2 linked regions of the Nothobranchius furzeri genome follow. Each later gene encodes a partner of the first gene's protein in a complex. Links are inferred from orthologs where the notes say so. Each region holds a gene or a part of one and is shown in the gene's direction. Other genes may lie near its edges.

Region 1 (9,120 bases):
GAACTAAAACCTCCATCATCGCCACAGTATCTCCATCCTCCAGCAACATGGAGGTGCGTCTCTGGACTTCCTGTTGCATCCTTTAGATGGATTCTGCATCCTGTTGCTTCATTTTCCAAGAATCTTCTGCAGCATTAGCTTTTTTTTTTTTTTTTTTTGTTCAAAATGTTTAAATCCTGATTTTTTGGCAATGATTGTAATCCATGTTTGCATGTGCAGGAGACCATGAGCACTCTGGAGTACGCCTGCAGAGCCAAGAACATAATGAACAAACCTGAGGTCAACCAGAAACTCACAAAGAGGACTCTGATTAAGGTACCGCATCTCCCCCGGACCCCTCTGGGGGTGTTTTGTGTTTTCTTTACTCACCAGTGGGAATCGTTGGTGCCTGACTTTTTATTAATGTGACTCCATTTTTGTTTTTGTTTTTTTTGCTTAACTTTAAAAGTTCAGCTCACTTTATTAAGAGGTTCTTAGTGTTCCTGATTGGTGGAGTCCCATCAGCTGATCTGTGAAATCATTAAACCCAACACCGGTTGTGTTCAGGAATATACGGAGGAGATCGAGCGGCTGAAACGTGACCTGATTGCTGTCAGAGAAAAGAACGGAGTTTATTTGTCTTCAGAAAACTACGAGTAAGTCCCAGTTTTTACTGTAGTTAAGAACCTGATATTTAAATTGACCTTTTAAAACCAGACTGGTCTGTAGGGCTGTAGTGTTTCATTATGCATTTGAAATTTATAATAATAAAAAACCGGGTGCTAAATAAACCCAGTGATTATAAATTTATGGATGGGCAACCCTTCACACAGTCACCCAAGTTGAGTTGAAGCCCACTCAATTACCATAATTCGCGGCCCAAATCCAACCGAACTGGTCGGGCTGATTCGGTTCCGGTTCGGTCTCAGGTTACAACTCCAGTGCTCAGCCCTGTAGAACCACATAAAGGCGGACCAAAGTTTCCTACCCAGTAAAAGTGGAGAACACCGCTCTGACAGATCTGGATGCTACGCTGGTGCCGCCGTTAAAATAACAAAACTACACTCCACTATAATTGATTATGGTGTACTCATCTATGATGCAGAATCGTTCATGCCCGCATCTTATGCATCGATTGTTTTCCTCAGCTCTATACACCTCCCGGTCGGTCATCGAGGGTGGGGGTGTGTGCATGGGGTTTCGGGGCTACAAAGAGAGGGCTTGCGGGCCGGACGTGTCCCGTGGGCCGCCAATTGAGTATCGCTGATCTACGTGTTCTATCCTGTCATGATGTGATATCATCATGTAGCCCGCCCCTAACAATGAATAAAAACAGAATAAGAAAGTTCTGCCATTAAGTCTGGCTCAAAGGCAGTTCTCATCCTGATCCTGAGTTGGGTCTGAACTGACATGTTTGTTTTCAGGAGCATGATGACACAGATCACGGCTCATGAGGAGCAGATTGCAGAATACGTGGACAAAATCATAATCATGGAGGAGGAGCTTAGAAAGGTACCACCCTCTTTTTCACTCTCCATCACAAACATGAAAACGGGAGTTGCTTTTGTTGAGGCAGAGGTTCGTGGTTTGTCACAAACCTGAGCTGGCAGCAGTTTTTTCTCCCATCGCTGCACCGTTCATGATGCGATTCCTCTGCAGGTGACCGAGCTGTTTGAGGACAGCCAAACCAAACTGGAGCAGTGCACCGCTGACCTGGATGAGAAGCATAAGAGGTATTTCATTCCACAGGCTGAAATCAGACCGCAGAGGACTCTGATCGGAGTTTTCTGGAATTTATGAGTTTATCGGCTTTAGGCTGGAGGAGACGAGCAAAGACCTGCAGCAGACCAAGGAGAAGCTGGTTGAGGAGGAGTTCATCTGCTCAGAGGTCACTTCTGTCCACGAGTCTCTGTACAACACAGCTGGACAGGTGTGTCTCTAAGCCAAACACCTAACATCCTGTTTTCTCACTTCTCGTCTCTTATGAGTTAGAATCACTTTCATGATTTTGAAATTAAAAAATTTTCCCTAAAATTTCCAGTTTCTCAATTTTAAATGTTTCCACTGAGTGATTTTTAAACGTGTCTGACCCCACCCTCTCCTCCATGCTTCCAGCTGCTGAGCACTGCCGACGCCAGCACCAGAGACGTGTCGGGTCTCCACGACAAGCTGGACAGGAAGAAAAAGGTCAAACAGATTCACACACAAGCAATCGTCAGTCGTTAGTAGTGAGTCAAAATAAACACGATGAAGAGAATTTATAATTGGTTGTATTGTCACGTTCAGAGGTCATGTTGTAAAAATGTCTAATCAAAAAAAGCCAAATCTTCATGGGGAAAAGCAACTGGTTCTGTCTGATGTCCCTCCTCGCTTGTGGTATTTTCAGGATGAGGGAGAACATTAAAAACATTTCTCTGGAAAGAACCACAGATTCTAAATTACCTCCAGACTAGAACCGTCCACCATAGAGCAGTATTAAACCCGAGGGCAGGGCGTTCACCTGGACGGTAAATGCCCAAAGTGGGCCACTAGATGTGGCTTTGGCAGAATAATTGCTCCACTGCTAGTGTTATTAATTTCCCCCACAACCTGTTTGTTGTTTTATTCTCTACTTAAAACGGTAAAAATAAGGATTTGTCTTTAAGATGTATTAGTACATCTGAAAAAAGGAAAGTAAAATTACTTTTTCAAAAGCTTTGTCCCTTCTGAACCCAAAATATTACCAAACAGCTCAAACATTTCTTTTGAGAACGAGCTTCTTGATCAGATCTAACCCCCCCCCACCCCCAACCACCACACACACACACACACACACACATGACTTTCAACTTTTTGAAGAGGTCCTTTTACTGAAAAAAAAACTGCTTTAATCAATTCTGATTGTACTCTTGAGTTTTTCATGCAGGCTGAACATGAAAATAGTCTCCTACATCTGTCTCCTGCATTAGCTTCTGACAGAAAGTAGACGATGAAACTAGGATTAGAAAATCCTGACAGATCTACGTCACACTGTCACTTAACATTCATGGACTCACCCATCTTGATTACGACGGGGAAGGCTGCTGTTGGTTTAGCGACCAGGAAATGGCAGAGAACGTCCCAACTACTTTATGCTAACCGTTAGCATTAGCAACTCCACCACACAGCAGAACTCCAGGCTTGTATTTGTGGGAATGAAACGTGCATGTTGCAAAGCTAACGGAGTCAGTGGTAGGGTCGTGTTGCTGTTACCCAGTCGGAGATGAGATGTCCAAATATTAGGAAATAAAACTCTAAATCCTGCCGTCTGACGCTACTTTCTCCTCAGGCTGAATCGTCCATGCTGAAACGAGCATCTGAGCTTTTTTCCATAGAGTTTGACTTAGAAGGCATCTATTTCCACTAGATGACCACTGCACGTGTATTAAAATACGAGAGAAGTTCCTCATATTGGTTGTTAGACTCAGTGCTTGATGTTTCAGCCGGACTAATAAACTTGTGTTGACTTGCAGGTGGAGAATCACAACAAACAGATGCAGCAAAGCTTTGCTGAGCGGATGGATGGAGCCTTGAGCAGCATGCAACGCTGCGTCCACCGTCACGGAGCCAAACACAACGAGCTGCTCAGCAGCTGCTCACAGGCTGTTGGTACGATCAAAGCACCAAGGGTGCTCATGGGTCTGCACGTACGACTGGTGTTCAGGCATAAACGTCTGTTCATGTGGTCCATTCAGCTTCTCCACTCGGATCAAAAGTTTTGTTTGGTTAGCTCTGAGTCTGATTAGAATAAAGCACCTGTTGGCTTATAGTTGGACAAAACCAGTGTTCCCAGTTTGGGAACAAATTCATATTTAAGCAACATTACTTTTCAGTTCAGTCCTGTTTTGATGTTTCTGAGCTCGTTTTTAGTTGATGAAACGAATCATGTTTCAGTTTAATTATTCCTCAGGTTTATTTTAATATTTAACCTTTGACCCAGAACTGTCATCGGGGACCCTGAGTAACCCCTACCCACTTTGTTCCTCCCACCTACAGACGGTCTGCTCATGATGAATGAGGTGGCGCTGAAAAGCACCGTCACCACCATGGAGTCGCTTGTAGGCGGAGTCAGGTCGGTGGTGGCTGAGGGCGTGGCTCGCTGTCGGGAGAAGCTCCAGCAGCATGAATCGGTGTGTCTGCAGGACAAGGAGAGTCTGCTGCAGCTGCTGGTGAGGCCCTCATGATCATTCATAACAGGCTTTCTTTAAATCAACCCGTCAGGTTGACTCGGTTCGGGTTCTGTCTCTGGTTAGACCTGCAGCGCTCAGCACTACATAATGGCGGGCCGGTATTTCCTGCTCTAAATATGGAGGACACGTCTCTCTCTGAAAAATGTTGATGGCACGCCGATGGCGTGGTTAAAAAAGCTAAATGTATTCCACTTAAGGCTGAGCAATATGGCCTAAAATCAATATCATGATTAATTGAGGATTTCACCTCTAGAACGATACATTTTTGTTTTATTGCCCAGCCCTAATTCCACTATAATCGATTATGGCATGCTTCTTCTACGATTAAGAATAATTTATGTTGATGCATCAATTATTTAATTGTTTTCTTCAAATCAATTAGAACTCAAACAACTAATCAGTTTAATCGATTATTAAAATGGTAGACAACTTATTTAGTCATTGATTAGTTGTTTTATAATCACGTTTTACCATAAGCAGTCTATTTTTTAAAACTACTGTTACATCGTTTACAGCAGGGGTGTCAAACATGCGGCCCGCGGGCCGGATCTGGCCCGCATGCGGGTTAAATCCGGCCCGCGAGATGGTTGTGTAAACTTTATTTTCATACTTTACAATGTAGAGTGAAAATGAACTTATCTTTGTGAGCAAGTTTTCTCTGTAATGAGTATAAATAAAACAAAGCTGCGCTCAAGGCCCACACAAGAACTTGAATCACATCCTGAAGATGGCCGCCACTCAGGATGTGACTTCTGATGTTGATGTGCTGGTGAAAGCTAAAATATGTAAAGTAAAATGAGTCAAATATACTTTAAGTGCTGCATAAAACTGATCTTGCCATGTGATCTGTAAGCTCTGAATCACTAAGGAATGTTTTTTTTTATTTGTTTTTTTAATTTTCTATTTTTTCAAATTTTCAAGTACACTTCAGGTGTTGTACTTGTACTACACTGTCCTCAGGCTCCAGCCTTGTTTTATATTGATTGTATTAAAACAAAGAAAACAATCTGAAGTTTTTTTTTATGTACCGGTCCGGCCCACTTGGGACTAGATTTCCCTCAATGTGGCCCCTGAGCTAAAATGAGTTCGACACCCCTGGTTTACAGTCTGTTAAATTTACGGCTAGTGTGTGGCAGTAATGAGCCACTAATCTACCAGTGAAGCAGCAGAAGAAGAAATCGGCCAATAGTACCCTTTGTTCTTCGTGACGTACCACGCACAAGGCTGATGCCATGCTCACACTGAGGAAAATAGCAGACCAAGAAACAGAAATGATAAACCTGAAGAAGAAATCCTGAACAGAAACATCTAAAGGTTGAGAGTGCTTCACTCTAGATGCTGTGAAAAGACGGGTGATCTGCTAAATATACACAAAGGATCTAGCATGGCACAGAAGCACGACTTCTCTAAATGAAAATCTGAGATGAAAACTTTTGAAAGTTGATGCAGCGGAAGAGCCAGCCCAGTAGGTAACTTATACCTAGTTAGAAAATAAACACTAATTACAGCAGTCCCTCACTATAATGCGGATCACTTATTGTGACTTTGCTGAGTTTGTTGTACAATTTTACGCTGCATCTTTGTAGCGTACTAACGTTCATTGTGTCCTACCGCTGACTGACTAGATACAATTATGAATCTCCACCGTGTCGTGTATCCCGCGCTTGCCAAATTTAGCACGTCTGTTTATAAGAATGTTCTCCATAGAAAAACAACACAAACCCATAACTATGTTCCTCGCTCAAATAAGGACAACTGTGTGGAAAAGGATGTAGGCGAGCAGAGTGCGGATGAATTAAACGTGGTATAGTTATACTTGTATGCTTTAAAATCTACAAAGGTTTTAACTTTGAGTCTTTAAACAAGCAAGAAATATGAGAAATGTTTATTTTGTCTAAGGAACATGTTTAAGTGTGTTGCGAGGTGTTTCACAGCCTTTAAACATACACCAAATATCGAACATCCCCCCTTTCCAAGAGGAAAAGACCAAAAAAATCACTTTTTAAATTAACAATTCTTATTGAAAATTTGAGAACAAATACTGAGCAAAAATACTATTTTAATGCAAACTATCAGAATTTTGCTGACATGTGAACTCAAAAGTCGAATGAGGCTTTTATTCAGACGCCCTCTGCCTCACTGTCCTCACTCATGCTGCTGCGGGGTGTACCATCAGATCGCTACACCAGCAGACTCCTCCCAGAACATCATCCTCATTGCTATGCAATACATCCATGCATGCAATGTTTGACGTTTCTGCTGAATTGTTCATCATCTTAAAATTCGCATAATAGCTTGTTAATTTGCCCCACTTTCGGTCCACTCTGCTCCGGACCTCCCATCTCCATTTTTTTTCTCCTGTTGAGAACGCACAGCCTGGTGCCCCCTGCTGTTACGGGCGTGTAATGGTTAGACCTAGATTTGAAAACAACCCCACATTTTAAATTTATTTTCAATGAAAAAAAAAACCTCATATTCGGGTCAATACGGTACTTGCAACAAATAATGAAGACTTCTTTCTGGATTTCTCCTGCTGCGTTTTTTTTTAATTATTATTATTTTATTTTGTAGATTAACAAAAACTGATTAATCGTAAAAATAATCAACAGAATAATCGATTATGAAAATCGTTAGTTGCGGCCCTAAAGTCAATACAGTAGTGCAAAGGCCAATTACTGAAACATACATAGAATCATCCGTAAGGTTGTCACGGTTTGAAAATTTAACCTCGCGGTTATTGTGACCAAAATATCACGATTTTCGGTATTAGTGTTTTTTTTTTATTTATTTATTTATTTTTTTTTTACATGTTATGTTTTCAGACAACTAACTAAACCCTCTATATGAGGAAAATTAGGTTCTCAGTTGATGTCTAAATTTAGCCTAAAATTTGTTTTGTAAAATTCGTTGTTGGTTTTTTCGTTTACATTTTTCCCCTTTTGTCTTTAAAATACCCAAATTTCTCCATAACTTTTTATTTTTACTTTTTCATGTCATCATTTTAAAAATATGAACTAGCTACAACCGGAGTTAACTGTGCACAACACCAGAGCTTCTGAGTCAGAGATACGCCGGGCTGACCGCTGGGTAAAACCGGGTGGAAAACATCGGTCTCCCGAGAGCTCCACAAGCCGATAGTCGAAACTCAGCTCCACCAACATGTTATATTTCAACCCATTTTCTAAAGTGCAGCATTACGTTAAATGCACTGGGTTTTACCCTATTACATTTCAATTTCATGGTTAAACAGTACATGGTAAAATCTAAGTTCAGCTCGGCAGTGACCTAAAATACATAAATATAATTTTACTTACCGAAAAAAAAAATGAAGTGGAGACTCCTTGGACGCTCTAGTAGTGCAATTAATACCACAGCAAGTCATTTTGTCCAACAATTGCACAAAAAATATCCAAAACAGAATACACAAACGCTACAACTAATGGTCTAAGTTGAGAGACTGAAAATGACGGAACAGTTTCCAAGCCAGGCCGAGACTCTACTGAAACCTTTCCACGGAGCTAACTCTGCGGCAGCGACAGTGGAGAGGAAAACTTCCTTTTAACAGGAAGAAACCTCCAGAGTATCCTGGCTCAGTATAAGCAGCCATCCACCACGACTCACTGGGGATCGAGAAGACAGAGCAAACACACCAACACCAGCCCACACAAACACACACAATCAAATCAACCCTTTGCTTACTTATTGTTCTCCAATGCAGACATATATAAACTGTCATGGTCTCCTGCAAAAGCCCTTCTCTCTCTGCTTAAAAGTCAGACCGCTGGATTCCTCACTCTGAATAAAAAAGCGAATCCACACAATCCTACAAGGCTTTACAACTTATAAGTTAATTAATCAAATGGTTGAATGAACAAGATGTTTTTAATAAAATCTATAATTAAACGGGTAAACTAGTAGCAACGCATTCAATGTCAAAGAAAGTAAAATGTTATCAGGAGAGGGAGAATGTTTAAGTGGTTAGCAACAGTGTGCTAGTCGATGGCCCCCTCCATGAGGCCACCACAGCTCAGCAGAACATCACTGTAGCTTCTTCTGGGGAGAAACAAAGATCTGTGGTGCAACACAAGCAATTAATCCGCGTGTTTCCACAAGTACAGACTTGAACACTGAATGACACGGAAACATTTCTGCAATAATCAGATTTATATTTTACGTCCACAAAAATAAAAAAATTTGACATATTACAGAAAACGGTGACTGCGTGTCATCTCATTTTAAAGCTCATTAGTTAGGCCATCATTAAGTCAAGCGGGATGGCTTACTGGCTACTAAGCTTCCAGGCGAGCATCTTTCAAATGCGTCAGGAGCTACTGGTTTTTCACGAGCGACATGTTGGAGACCCCTGTTTTAGACCTTTTGAAGCAAGTAGATCAAAAAGCAACAAGTCTGTGTGCAGCTTCCCCTTGCTGCCTGCGTACTGTGTTCATATGCAACAACAGAGTGGTTCCTCCTGCTTCTTTGTAGGCATGGTGCAGCGCCACGGTAAAGCCTATGCACAAGAAACACTGGTGTGTGTGTGTGTGTGTGTGTGCTAACCTGCTGACAGACTCTCCAACTTTCTGTTGAGTTGAATTTGTTTCTTCAGGAGTCGACGCCCCTTCAGCGTTTCTCCAGGCATTCACTGTTTTTATTGAGGATCATTTAATGAACTTTTTTAGGAGGAGCATCAGCAGGACATGGAGGATGTCCTGGCTGCTCGGACTCTGATGGGTTTATCTGCTGTCAACGAGCTGAGTGATGTTCTGAGGTCCTCCGTGGAGAAGCAGCGAGCTCTGGCTGACAAGGTGAGTCCAGACCTGCCCGTCCTCACAAATGAGGCAGAGTTTTAGCTCAGGTGTGGGCAGACCTGAGTATGTTTTCTCATCTTGTTTCAGGTGGAGGAGTCTGTGGGTCTGTTTTTCAACAGTTTGCA
Region 2 (9,910 bases), on another chromosome or scaffold:
CCGCCACCACTTCCATCAGTGGATCAGGTGTCGTCTTTGCCCTCTTGTTCTTCTAAAGAGGTTCCCTCAGAAACCAGTAGCTGCAGCTCCTCCACCCATTCTGAGGAATCGTACACAAGCCGCCTCCCTCCGCCCTCCCCCATCTACCCCTCCGCTGACATGTGCAATGGCCACGGCCTCTCCTTTCCCCTCGCCAAATCCCGCCAGGAGAAACGTTGGACGAAGCGACGGAAGTCTCGACAGACCGAGCTGCAGTTCCCTCATGAGCCTGGGGGTGGCGTTGGCTCTCTGCCCAGTCTGCAGGAACTGATGAAGGGAAACAAGGAGCTGAACGTCAGGACCATCGGGGTGACCGCTGTCCCCGGACACGCCTGAAACCTCTCACTTCACCTTCACACGACCTTTGGTTCTCTGGAAGGTAGCAGACTTATTTGGAGAAGAACTTCAAGCAATTTCCAAAGAACTACATTTCCCATGAGCCCCCTGAAGGTACCGTAGAACCTCAGTGGGTTTAGTTCAACACCATCCCGCCCCTGTCCACTCCTGTAAGAGAACTGTTTACAGTTATGTGCCTTTATTTCTGTTCTAGACACTCAAACCTTCACATATAAATACTATGATGGGGAACGACACGTCACCTTTATCTGAAAGTTTTTTTTTGTATTGTTTTTTTCCTGAATAAGCACATTGTTCCTAGACAGCAGAGCATCAGTGAACATGTTCCTCCCACACAGCACAGTGAGAAGACTTGCTGACGTTCCTTTAAGTATTAGCTGCTGTTTTGGATGAAAAGTGTCATTGTAGGAGAACCGCAGAGCACGACAAGTCTCTTCTGTCTTCTGTTTTCTTCTGTCTCATCTGTCCGGTTTGGCTGCAGGTTTGTTGGGGACCAGACTGATGGTTTTCATTGTGATGGTTTCTGTCTCTGTCAGTTAATTCCAAACCAGTGGCAGGAGCTGAATGAAGAAACTAACTGGGTGATGGCATCGACGAGTTTACTCTTTTAGTTTAGAATCTAGTTTAACCTCACAGGTGCAGCAGTCTGCAGGTCTTGTAAACTCGGTGTATCATTCTCCTTACTCTGTTATTTGGGCCGGGCCCAAAACCTTCATGCACACTTGTTCTTATTGGATTCAACATCTGTGATGACTATCAACAGGCCAGAGGCGAACCAGATTCTGTTTTTATTCCTGTGGCTGAGAACTGAGCCAGGACTCTTTATTTTTAAGATGTTGCTGGTTTGTTGTTTGTTAAAGAGAGTTGCTAAAGTGGGGACACATGGGTCCGGGGGTGTGTGTGTGTGTGTGTGTGTGTGTGTGGTTCCAGAGTAGAATGTTTACAATACTTTCACCTGCAGATGATTCTGACAGACCAGTTATATTTATCTATTTATTTATTTAAATCTAGCCTTTTTCTGATGATGGTACTGGTTTGCTGGTCTCCCAGTTCAACACGGTGACAGGAGATTGTTTACGTCAATAGATCTGACGCGTACAATCGCTCAACAACACACTTTTTCTCCTCGTTTTGTCTTTATGCCTCGGCCTGAAGCTCCAGCCATGACGTTTGATATCCAGCAGAAATAATTGAGTATTGATTTTAGAAGCCTTGGGTTTATTGGGAGCAGAGTGCTGCTGTGTCTGGAGCCGTCGGCGTAGTTGGATGGAGTTTTTCTGTCTCGTCTTTGCTTGTTTGCTCGTCTTCTGTGGATGACTTGTTGTAAGTCGCCCCGTTCAAAATGGTGATTCCAAACTCAGTGGGGTGTTCGTGTTTTGTTTTTACAAAATGAAAAGTAAACGATTTGTTTCTACATGTGGTTTCTGACAGGCTGAGTGTGGCTGCAGTTGTGAACACTGACAGAGACAGAACTTGGACAATGTTTCTCCTTTTGTTACTGTTTGATCCTACAGCTCTTCTGTGCTCCCCTCCACCCCCGGCCCTCGTTGCTCTGTGACTGTGAAGAAACCTTTGAATATGTCTGCTTGCATTAACCACTCCATGTTTAAGTAGGAGCATGAAATGCTTTCTTTTTTAACTCTACTCATCTTTGTATGTCCTCACTCTCACATTACACTCCACATGTCACTCGCTGTTGCTGTTTAATTCCATGTGTTCAACCCACTTTGAATGACACGGGGGGGGGGGGGGTGCAGAGGAGATGAATTATTATTGGTTAAAGGGAAAACGGGAATGACGAATCAGATTTGCAACACCATTAATGTGATCACGTTTATTCCACAAGCAGAGCAAACCTGTTTTTCTTTATTTCTCCTACTCTATTGGTGTGTGTGTGTGTGTGTGTGTGTGTGTGTGTGTGTGTGTGTGTGTGTGTGTGTGTGTGTGTGTGTGTGTGTGTGTGTGTGTGTGTGTGTGTGTGTGTGTGTGTGTGTGTGTGTGTGTGTGTGTGTGTGTGTGTGTCGATTAGGAGATTATTTCATATGTGTCGTGTGTGTTTGTGTAAGGAGAAAAACTACTTGGAACCTTTTTATTAAACCCATAACACGGGGAGGAAGCACTTGCAGATATTTGTACACACTCATTCTGCACTTTGTGTGACTCCTCGTGCCTTTTTTCTATGTGAAGTGTGATCGGTTCTTTTCTCTTCCTCCTTTCTGAGTCTGAAGAGCTGCACAGTATTTTTGACCAGGAGTGAGTTACTACAAAAACTGTAGTGCCATTAGAAACTGTGAATTCTTTCTAAATAAAACCTTTTTTTTGTTGTCTTTCACTTTGTGTCTGAATATTATTGCCTGGCCTCCAGTAAATTTTCTGTATACTAATAATAATGATTTATGTGAGGCTTTTCCAGGGAAAAGTGTGGTGTGAAAATTAAAGAAGACAAGTCTGTTGTGTTCTAAGAAACTTTCAGCTAAAAACAAAAAAACAAATCTAACCTGGGACTTTATTTTTTAATTAATTAATTTTAATTATTTTTTGAGAAAAGCAATTTTATTTGTATTTATATTAGTGGTGTGCATCTCTACTTGCCCCACGATTCGATCCGATTCCGATTATGCCTAAAGATTCGATTTGAGTCTGAAATGCATCAAAATTCTTCACCCATTTTTCATGACTTAATAAAAGCAGTAAAATAGTTTTCAATTTCTTTTTATTTCGACATCCCTGAAAAACAGAACATACAGTACATCTATTCACTATAGTGAGCAACAATTTTTAAAGTGTGCTGCCTATAATTACTTAAATAATATAAGAAATGTTTTCTGTAGAGCAGCTTTAAGATGGAATACAACTGAACTTAAAAATAGTAAACAAATACTGTGTTAAGTGATTCTTTCACATCCAGGATCCCAAAACCGAAATTAGCCCAGACATCCGATTTAAATGTAACGGGTACATCTTTGATTACTGGTAATGTTGGCCCCGTATCCCTGTCCGCCTTTTCTGGTTTAAATGGCGCTAGGGCAACGCAGTGCGCATGTCATTGCAACTTTGCCCCCTGAAGTAATTATAAAACCTCAAAACTTTATTGTCCTGCATAGACATAGGGAGAAAATCTCATTATGTCGCATTGCTGCATCGATGCGGAATCATGCACGGCTGAATCGCGATGCATCTTAGAATCGATCATTTTTCCCACCTCTAGTTTATATATATATATAAATACAAATAAAATTATATATATATGTGTGTGTATGTATATATGTCAAGGCGTTCCCTGGCCATGGAACATACTTGTTCAAGCGTGTCCTGGGTCTTCACTGGGTTCTCCTCCCAGTTGAACGTGCCCAGAAAAACTCACCAAGGAGACTCCCAGGAGGCATCCTACTCAGATGCCCAAGTCACCCCAACTGGCTCCTCTCGATGTGAAGGAGCAGTGGATTTACTCCGAGCCCCCTGATGAAGCCAACAGGACCACATCATCTGCAAAAATGAGAGGCCAAACAGAAAATCTATTCTGCCTTTTAGCTATGAAGTCACTGTTAAATATACATACAATTATTACTATCATCATCATTATATGTTTAATGTTCTATAAATTTTATTTGAATTCAACTTGAACAGGCTAACAGAAAAGCTTTCGGACTGTTTCACGGTTCCTCTACAGTTACCACAGCTTAACTCGGGCTCTTTGGACTTCTACAGCGGCTCTGAATAACTTTAATTAAAATTACTTTAAACCATCAGCAGATTCTATAAATATAGACAGGTGTACAATAGAGACTTTTCATTGAATATTTTCCACAACAGAATGACAGTAAAAGTAAGATTTCTAGATCTATTTAAGCTTGATTTTAATTAATTTTACATTACAATAAGCATCCTATTGCTGACTGCACTGTGCGTCTCACGGCAGTGATGCACCTTTGGCGCAAAATGCGGACCTTCGTGGAGAGCGTGTCCTATCGGGAGTGGCTGCGCTGGGCACGGACTGTGGACGGCTGATGTTGGAGGGAAAGATATTTTTTTAGAACTCGGAGATTTCGACTAATAAATGACCCGAAAAACTACCAGTGCTCACCGCCAAGAAAAAAGTATTAAAAAAAAGGTATGCCGAGAGGTCAGAGTTTGAAGTGGCGATGCACGTTGCTGCAAACCGAACCCACTTGAAGCACATTTTTCAGTCCAAATACTCAGACTTCGGTCCATATATTCAGACTTTCAGTCCATATATTCAGAATTTCAGTCCATATATTCATACTTCGGTCTATATATTCACACTTTCAGTCCAAATATTCAAACTTCGGTCCATATATTCACACTTTCAGTCCATATATTCACACTTTCAGTCCATATATTCACACTTTCAGTCCATATATTCACACTTTCAGTCCATATATTCATACTTCGGTCCAAATATTCACACTTTGGTCCATATATTCAGAAGTATTCTGGTATAAATATATAATGATTTCCTGAACGCCATGCCATAACATATATATATATATATATGTGTGTGTGTGTGTGTGTGTGTGTGTGTGTGTGTGTGTGTGTGTGTGTGTGTGTGTGTGTGTAAGATAAACAGGCTTAAATGTAAACAGGCTAATCCAGAGACAGACCGTTGACATCAATGTTAACCGAACAGTCGTTCATCCGAGCCACATGGTGGCGCTGTGGCTCAACGTGGTATGTGTTTCTCACCAAAGCGGCGCAGACTAATGTTATGTTTACGTCTGTCCGACAACATGGAGGACGACGTGGATGTTGACATCGAGGGAGACGATTTTGATTGTAATGTCCGGTAAGAATGCTGACTAACTCTGGGTAAACAGTGTGTCTGCGAACCACAGGAGCCATGTGTTACCGTTCAATTAGCTGGGAGAGGCTCTTTGACTATTAGCCTTAGCTTTGCTATCTGTTGTAGACCTGCTTCTTATCTTACTGATTATTTTTGTTGTTTTATCATTTGATTTTTCTGCTAGTTTGTTTAAAGCACCTTTGGTTTTGTATCTTCAAAGGTGCTACAACTTTAAAAAAAGACTTACCACTTCGAAGCTAGCTAGCTGTCTGTATGGCATGGAGTAGAGAGAGAGAGAGTTAGTGCGCGCGCGTGTGTGTGTGCGTTTCTTTGTTTATTTCACATCTGGAATTAATAGCTGCTTGTTTTCATGCTGTTTCAGTGAGATAGACGAAGGAGGTGTAATCCAGGATCAGTTCGTCCAGTCTGTGGGCAAAAGCAGCTCCTGGATCCTGGTATGAATTCTCACACAGCTGTTCAGGCAGATCGTGTGTGTGTGTGTGTGTGTGTGTGTGTGTGTGTTGGTCCTGGTCCTGATTCTGTGTGCTGTTTGAACAGCCCTGGGAACTGGACAGCTCCATCAGCCCTGAGAACAGAGAGGTGATAGAGAGGATGCTGCTGGAGGAACAGTATCCTTTCATCATTCCCCCAAAGGGTTCAGAGAGATTATTTTGATATAAAACAACTTTCTGCATTCTTCTGTTTGTTTTTGTGTTTGCACACACATTAATTAGGCACTTGTCTGTGTGAAGATGACACAGAAACCTCCTCCTCATCATCATATCATCAGCAGGCTGATGAGTCAGAAAGCTTCTGTGCCACTAAGTGGTGTTTTTTCAGCCTATTTATTTTTAAGTTGTTATCTCAACACTTAAAGGGGTAATAGAATATAAAGCTGCATTTACCTTGTTGATAAAGGAACCTTGGGGTGTCAAATGTGGCATACCAAAAAGTCAGTCATGTTTGACCTGCTCTCTGTGTAAATTAGTCATCTTAAAAAGGTGAAGGGGGGACGGTTGATTCTGATAAAAGTTGGTTGTAACAAGTAAACTATACACACCTGCTGCTTTGCATATTCCAACCCACTTTAGTGTCAGCAATACAACCTCTGGTCACGTTAATGCTAACCGCAGAACAACACTAGGCTGAGCTACTACTAACGTCTTTGATGGGGGGGGGGGGGGGGGGAATGCAAGAAGCTGGTTGAAGCACTCATGTTCCAGGATGTACTGGGACACTTAGTCTCCTCAACAAACCATCGCACCACAACCTACAGAGCAGTCGCTTGACTTAACACTAACTTCCTCCGCACGTCACCGCTTTACAACAGGCAAGATGGTCACTCAGCTGGACACTAACACCCCCCCCCACACACACACACACACACACACACCCTCACACACACATGCACACACACACACGCCCTCACACACGCACACAGAAAGAAAGCAAGGAGTTTAGTAATAGAAGAGCACGTCAAGCATCATGCAGAGGACATCCGGTGCTCCGACAGCCCATGGGACATCAAATGGAGAGGATAAAGTATGGCTGAAGTAAACTGGTCCTTAATACTTTAATTGGTGCAAAACAAACAGAACTTGTGTTTCGACAGCTTATGTCTTTTTCAGAGAACTCTGAAGTTTGTCTTGCACCAATTAAAGTATTAAGGACCAGTTTGCTCCAACGATACTTTATCCTCTACAAAGGAAAGAGTTTATAGCTCCAAGTGATGCGTAACCATTGGGGTAAAACAAACAGCAACTCATTTCATATTCATATCCTGACCAAGTGGGTGAGGTAAACCAGTCTTTTCATTGTAGCACAAATTCATGGGTTTGAATTTGGCCATTAATCAGGGCTCCTGGGCCATTGTGAGCCCCAGCAAAGTTTGTCAAGCTACACAGAGGCTCAAAGTAGTGGTTCCAGTTGTAAAGAAACAGTGTTCTACTGCCACTTTAAACAGGAAAGAAATGAGTGTAATACAAACAGGAAGTAACAAACTAAATCAAACAGGTGTTTGGAGTAGTAATAACAATAAACAGTAGAATAGAGAATGAAGTTCATTGTTACTGATTAATCAGTCTGATCCAGATAAAACACACTAAACATTTTTTCTTTTGAGTATAAAATAACTAAAGAAATGTTTACATTAACTAGGGTTCATTTTTTTCTCCCTTTTTGTTGTTACCTATAGCTTAAAATGTTTTAGTCAACAGCTCACATAAAGGAAAACATGGACTAAAGCAGATAGCAGACATCCTGAACTGTGACTTCAGATATTACCTCACAGGTAAGGCGGTTCCTGACAACATTCTGCACAGTGATTCTAACAAAAAGCCTAAAGTGAAGAAGTAAGTCTCTCTGCATTTCTCCTTATCTGTTCACTGATTCCTGAGTCTGTTGGTAAGTATTGATTCTCCTTTCTGTTGAACGATAAGGTCTCTATCCAAGAACTCAACCTCAATGTCCGCTTCATCGTCTCGCTGGTCAAAACAGGAAAAGGAGCGCTTTGAGGAAGGATTGGTGAGGTTTTTTTTTTTACTCAGCTGAGCTGAATGTCTGAAATTAAGATTATAATCTGCTGTTTTGTTGCAGGTTCAGATAATTTTTCAAGAAACTGATTTTCTCTTTTTTCTTTTATTTATTTTTGCAGGCCCAATTTGGTCGAAGGTGGACTAAAATTGCCAAGCTGGTGGGCACCCGTAGTGTTCTTCAGGTCAAGAGTTATGCCAGACAGCATTTCAAGCAAAAGGTGAACTGTCTTCGTTGCTTAGCTGGATGTGCAAACACATCTTTTATTTACTTTTCTTTTGTATTCCCACTTAAGGATAAACCCGAACCCAAAGCTGCTGCTTCGTCTGCAGGTCCTGACCTGCACTCACACCCTCCTCCGCCAGCCTCCGTCTGTGCTTCTGTTCTGTCCAACGCTGTTCGCATAGAGAGACTTTCTGACGATGAGGATGTAGACATCACTGATAACCAGAGTGAGGATGAAGGGAGAGTTGTCCAAACTGGATTCTGTGATTCAGAAGAGCCTAAAGAAGAACAAACAGAATCAGACCTGAGTGAGGGGGAGAACGTTCATGAGACAGAGGACCAACCCTGCCAGAGCTCTCTTCCTCTACAAAGTCCTCTGGGCTTTTCTGATTTAGTTTGCAATGATGAAGGTGACAAACTGAGGATAACTGAGAAGGCTATAGAGACAGAAACCCCTCCAGAGGAGACGGCTGAGGCAAACGAAGGTCAGAGTTCTCTGTGTGACATTCAGCTAGGTGAAGATGATCACACCTGCACAGGTGATCCACTATCAGTTTTTCTTTTTTGCTTATTGAATTATTATTTGTGTTCATCTGTAAAATAAAATGTATTGCCTCGTAGACTCTAATGATAAGATTGAAAATTACGAATCGGAAAAGGAGCTGGAGGAAGACTATGAAGACGAGGAAGAGGAGGAGCTCAAAGCCCCTGAGCGAGAAATTCAGATGGACACAGAGACGATCACTGAGGACGAGAAACAAGCCATCCCAGAGTTCTTTGAGGGACGACCGTCCAAAACCCCAGAAAGATATCTTAAGATTAGAAACTACATCCTGGATCAGTGGTACCACAAACACACACACCTACACTAAAGTCACAGAATGAGAAGTTATGAGACCAGCAAAGGAATAGCTCTGATGTTGTTGAACAAGCAGGTCCAGTTTGATGATTCCCAGTTGGGGAAGGAAGGATGGCTGGTAGTTTCCAGGTTGAGAACGGACTTCTACAGAAGTGACTTTTTATGTTTTGTGTCCATTAGGCTGAAAAATAAACCCAAGTACCTCAACAAGACCTCAGTCCGTCCTGGTCTGAAGAACTGTGGGGATGTCAACTGCATCGGGAGAATACACACCTACCTGGAGCTCATTGGGGCAATCAACTTCAACTGTGGTAACCCCCCCCCCCTCCCATGTTTACTCCTGTTGTTGTGTTTCCCTCTAACATTTGTTGATGTTTGAATCCTTGTAGAGCAAGCAGTGTATAATCGCCCCAAAGTGGTGGACCGCTCCAAACACAAGGAGGGCAAAGACGTGCTGGAAGCCTATCAGCTGGCTCAGAGACTCCAGAGTATGGTAGGAACACGCTAAAGCACCAAACCGTCACCACCAAGGTGTGGCAGACTCGAGCTAACGTTTGATGGTTTGTAGCGGACCAGGAGGAGGCGTGTGCGCGACATCTGGGGGAACTGGTGTGATGCTAAAGATTTGGAAGGACAGACATACGAGGTTTGGACTTTGAAACATGAAAAAACTTCCACCTGGCTGAATTGACAAGGGTCTTTCTGCTGATTGTATTTGTGCAATGTGTTTATTAGCATCTCGGTGCTAAGGAGCTCGCTTTGAGGAGGGAGGAGATGAGGAAGCACCCTAAACCCTGCAAGATGTCAAAATACAGATGGTGAGCAACGTAATGGAAGAAGTAATAAACTATGAATAAACATTACTGATGATTTACTCCTCTGTTAGGTCTTTAGATCCATTCCAGCTGATTCCCTGCAGGTCGTTTGAAGACGACGTACAGGTCAGCAGTCCTCACCGAGTTACCAGTTAGGCTGTTGTTTGTATGCGTTTGGTACGCTGTGATAAGATTGAAATACTTTTTTGTTTTCTGCTTCTCAGAGATCAAATCATTTTACAGGCTATGTGTTTGCAAAAATGCTCAAGGTTCACTTTAATA

Evidence for each region.
Region 2: kif11 (region 1) and mysm1 share a complex: the UniProt entries of both Homo sapiens proteins name them as parts of the large chromatin remodeling complex. The link is inferred for Nothobranchius furzeri from reciprocal best matches to the Homo sapiens genes KIF11 and MYSM1.

What each region holds. Positions count from the first base shown.
Region 1 is NC_091752.1:45,731,356-45,740,475, forward strand, and holds part of kif11 (kinesin-like protein KIF11), read left to right. Parts: coding exon 1-53; intron 54-219; coding exon 220-315; intron 316-546; coding exon 547-635; intron 636-1,403; coding exon 1,404-1,491; intron 1,492-1,638; coding exon 1,639-1,712; intron 1,713-1,794; coding exon 1,795-1,909; intron 1,910-2,094; coding exon 2,095-2,166; intron 2,167-3,470; coding exon 3,471-3,606; intron 3,607-3,993; coding exon 3,994-4,166; intron 4,167-8,866; coding exon 8,867-8,992; intron 8,993-9,082; coding exon 9,083-9,120. UniProt on the Homo sapiens protein: Motor protein required for establishing a bipolar spindle and thus contributing to chromosome congression during mitosis. Required in non-mitotic cells for transport of secretory proteins from the Golgi complex to the cell surface.
Region 2 is NC_091748.1:42,204,612-42,214,521, reverse strand, and holds the start of mysm1 (histone H2A deubiquitinase MYSM1), read left to right. Parts: upstream 1-5,068; 5' UTR 5,069-5,087; coding exon 5,088-5,200; intron 5,201-5,579; coding exon 5,580-5,652; intron 5,653-5,755; coding exon 5,756-5,826; intron 5,827-7,391; exon of another isoform or gene 7,392-7,473; coding exon 7,474-7,548; intron 7,549-7,635; coding exon 7,636-7,720; intron 7,721-7,850; coding exon 7,851-7,949; intron 7,950-8,024; coding exon 8,025-8,493; intron 8,494-8,575; coding exon 8,576-8,798; intron 8,799-8,993; coding exon 8,994-9,124; intron 9,125-9,202; coding exon 9,203-9,306; intron 9,307-9,381; coding exon 9,382-9,459; intron 9,460-9,548; coding exon 9,549-9,631; intron 9,632-9,699; coding exon 9,700-9,754; intron 9,755-9,910. UniProt on the Homo sapiens protein: Metalloprotease with deubiquitinase activity that plays important regulator roles in hematopoietic stem cell function, blood cell production and immune response.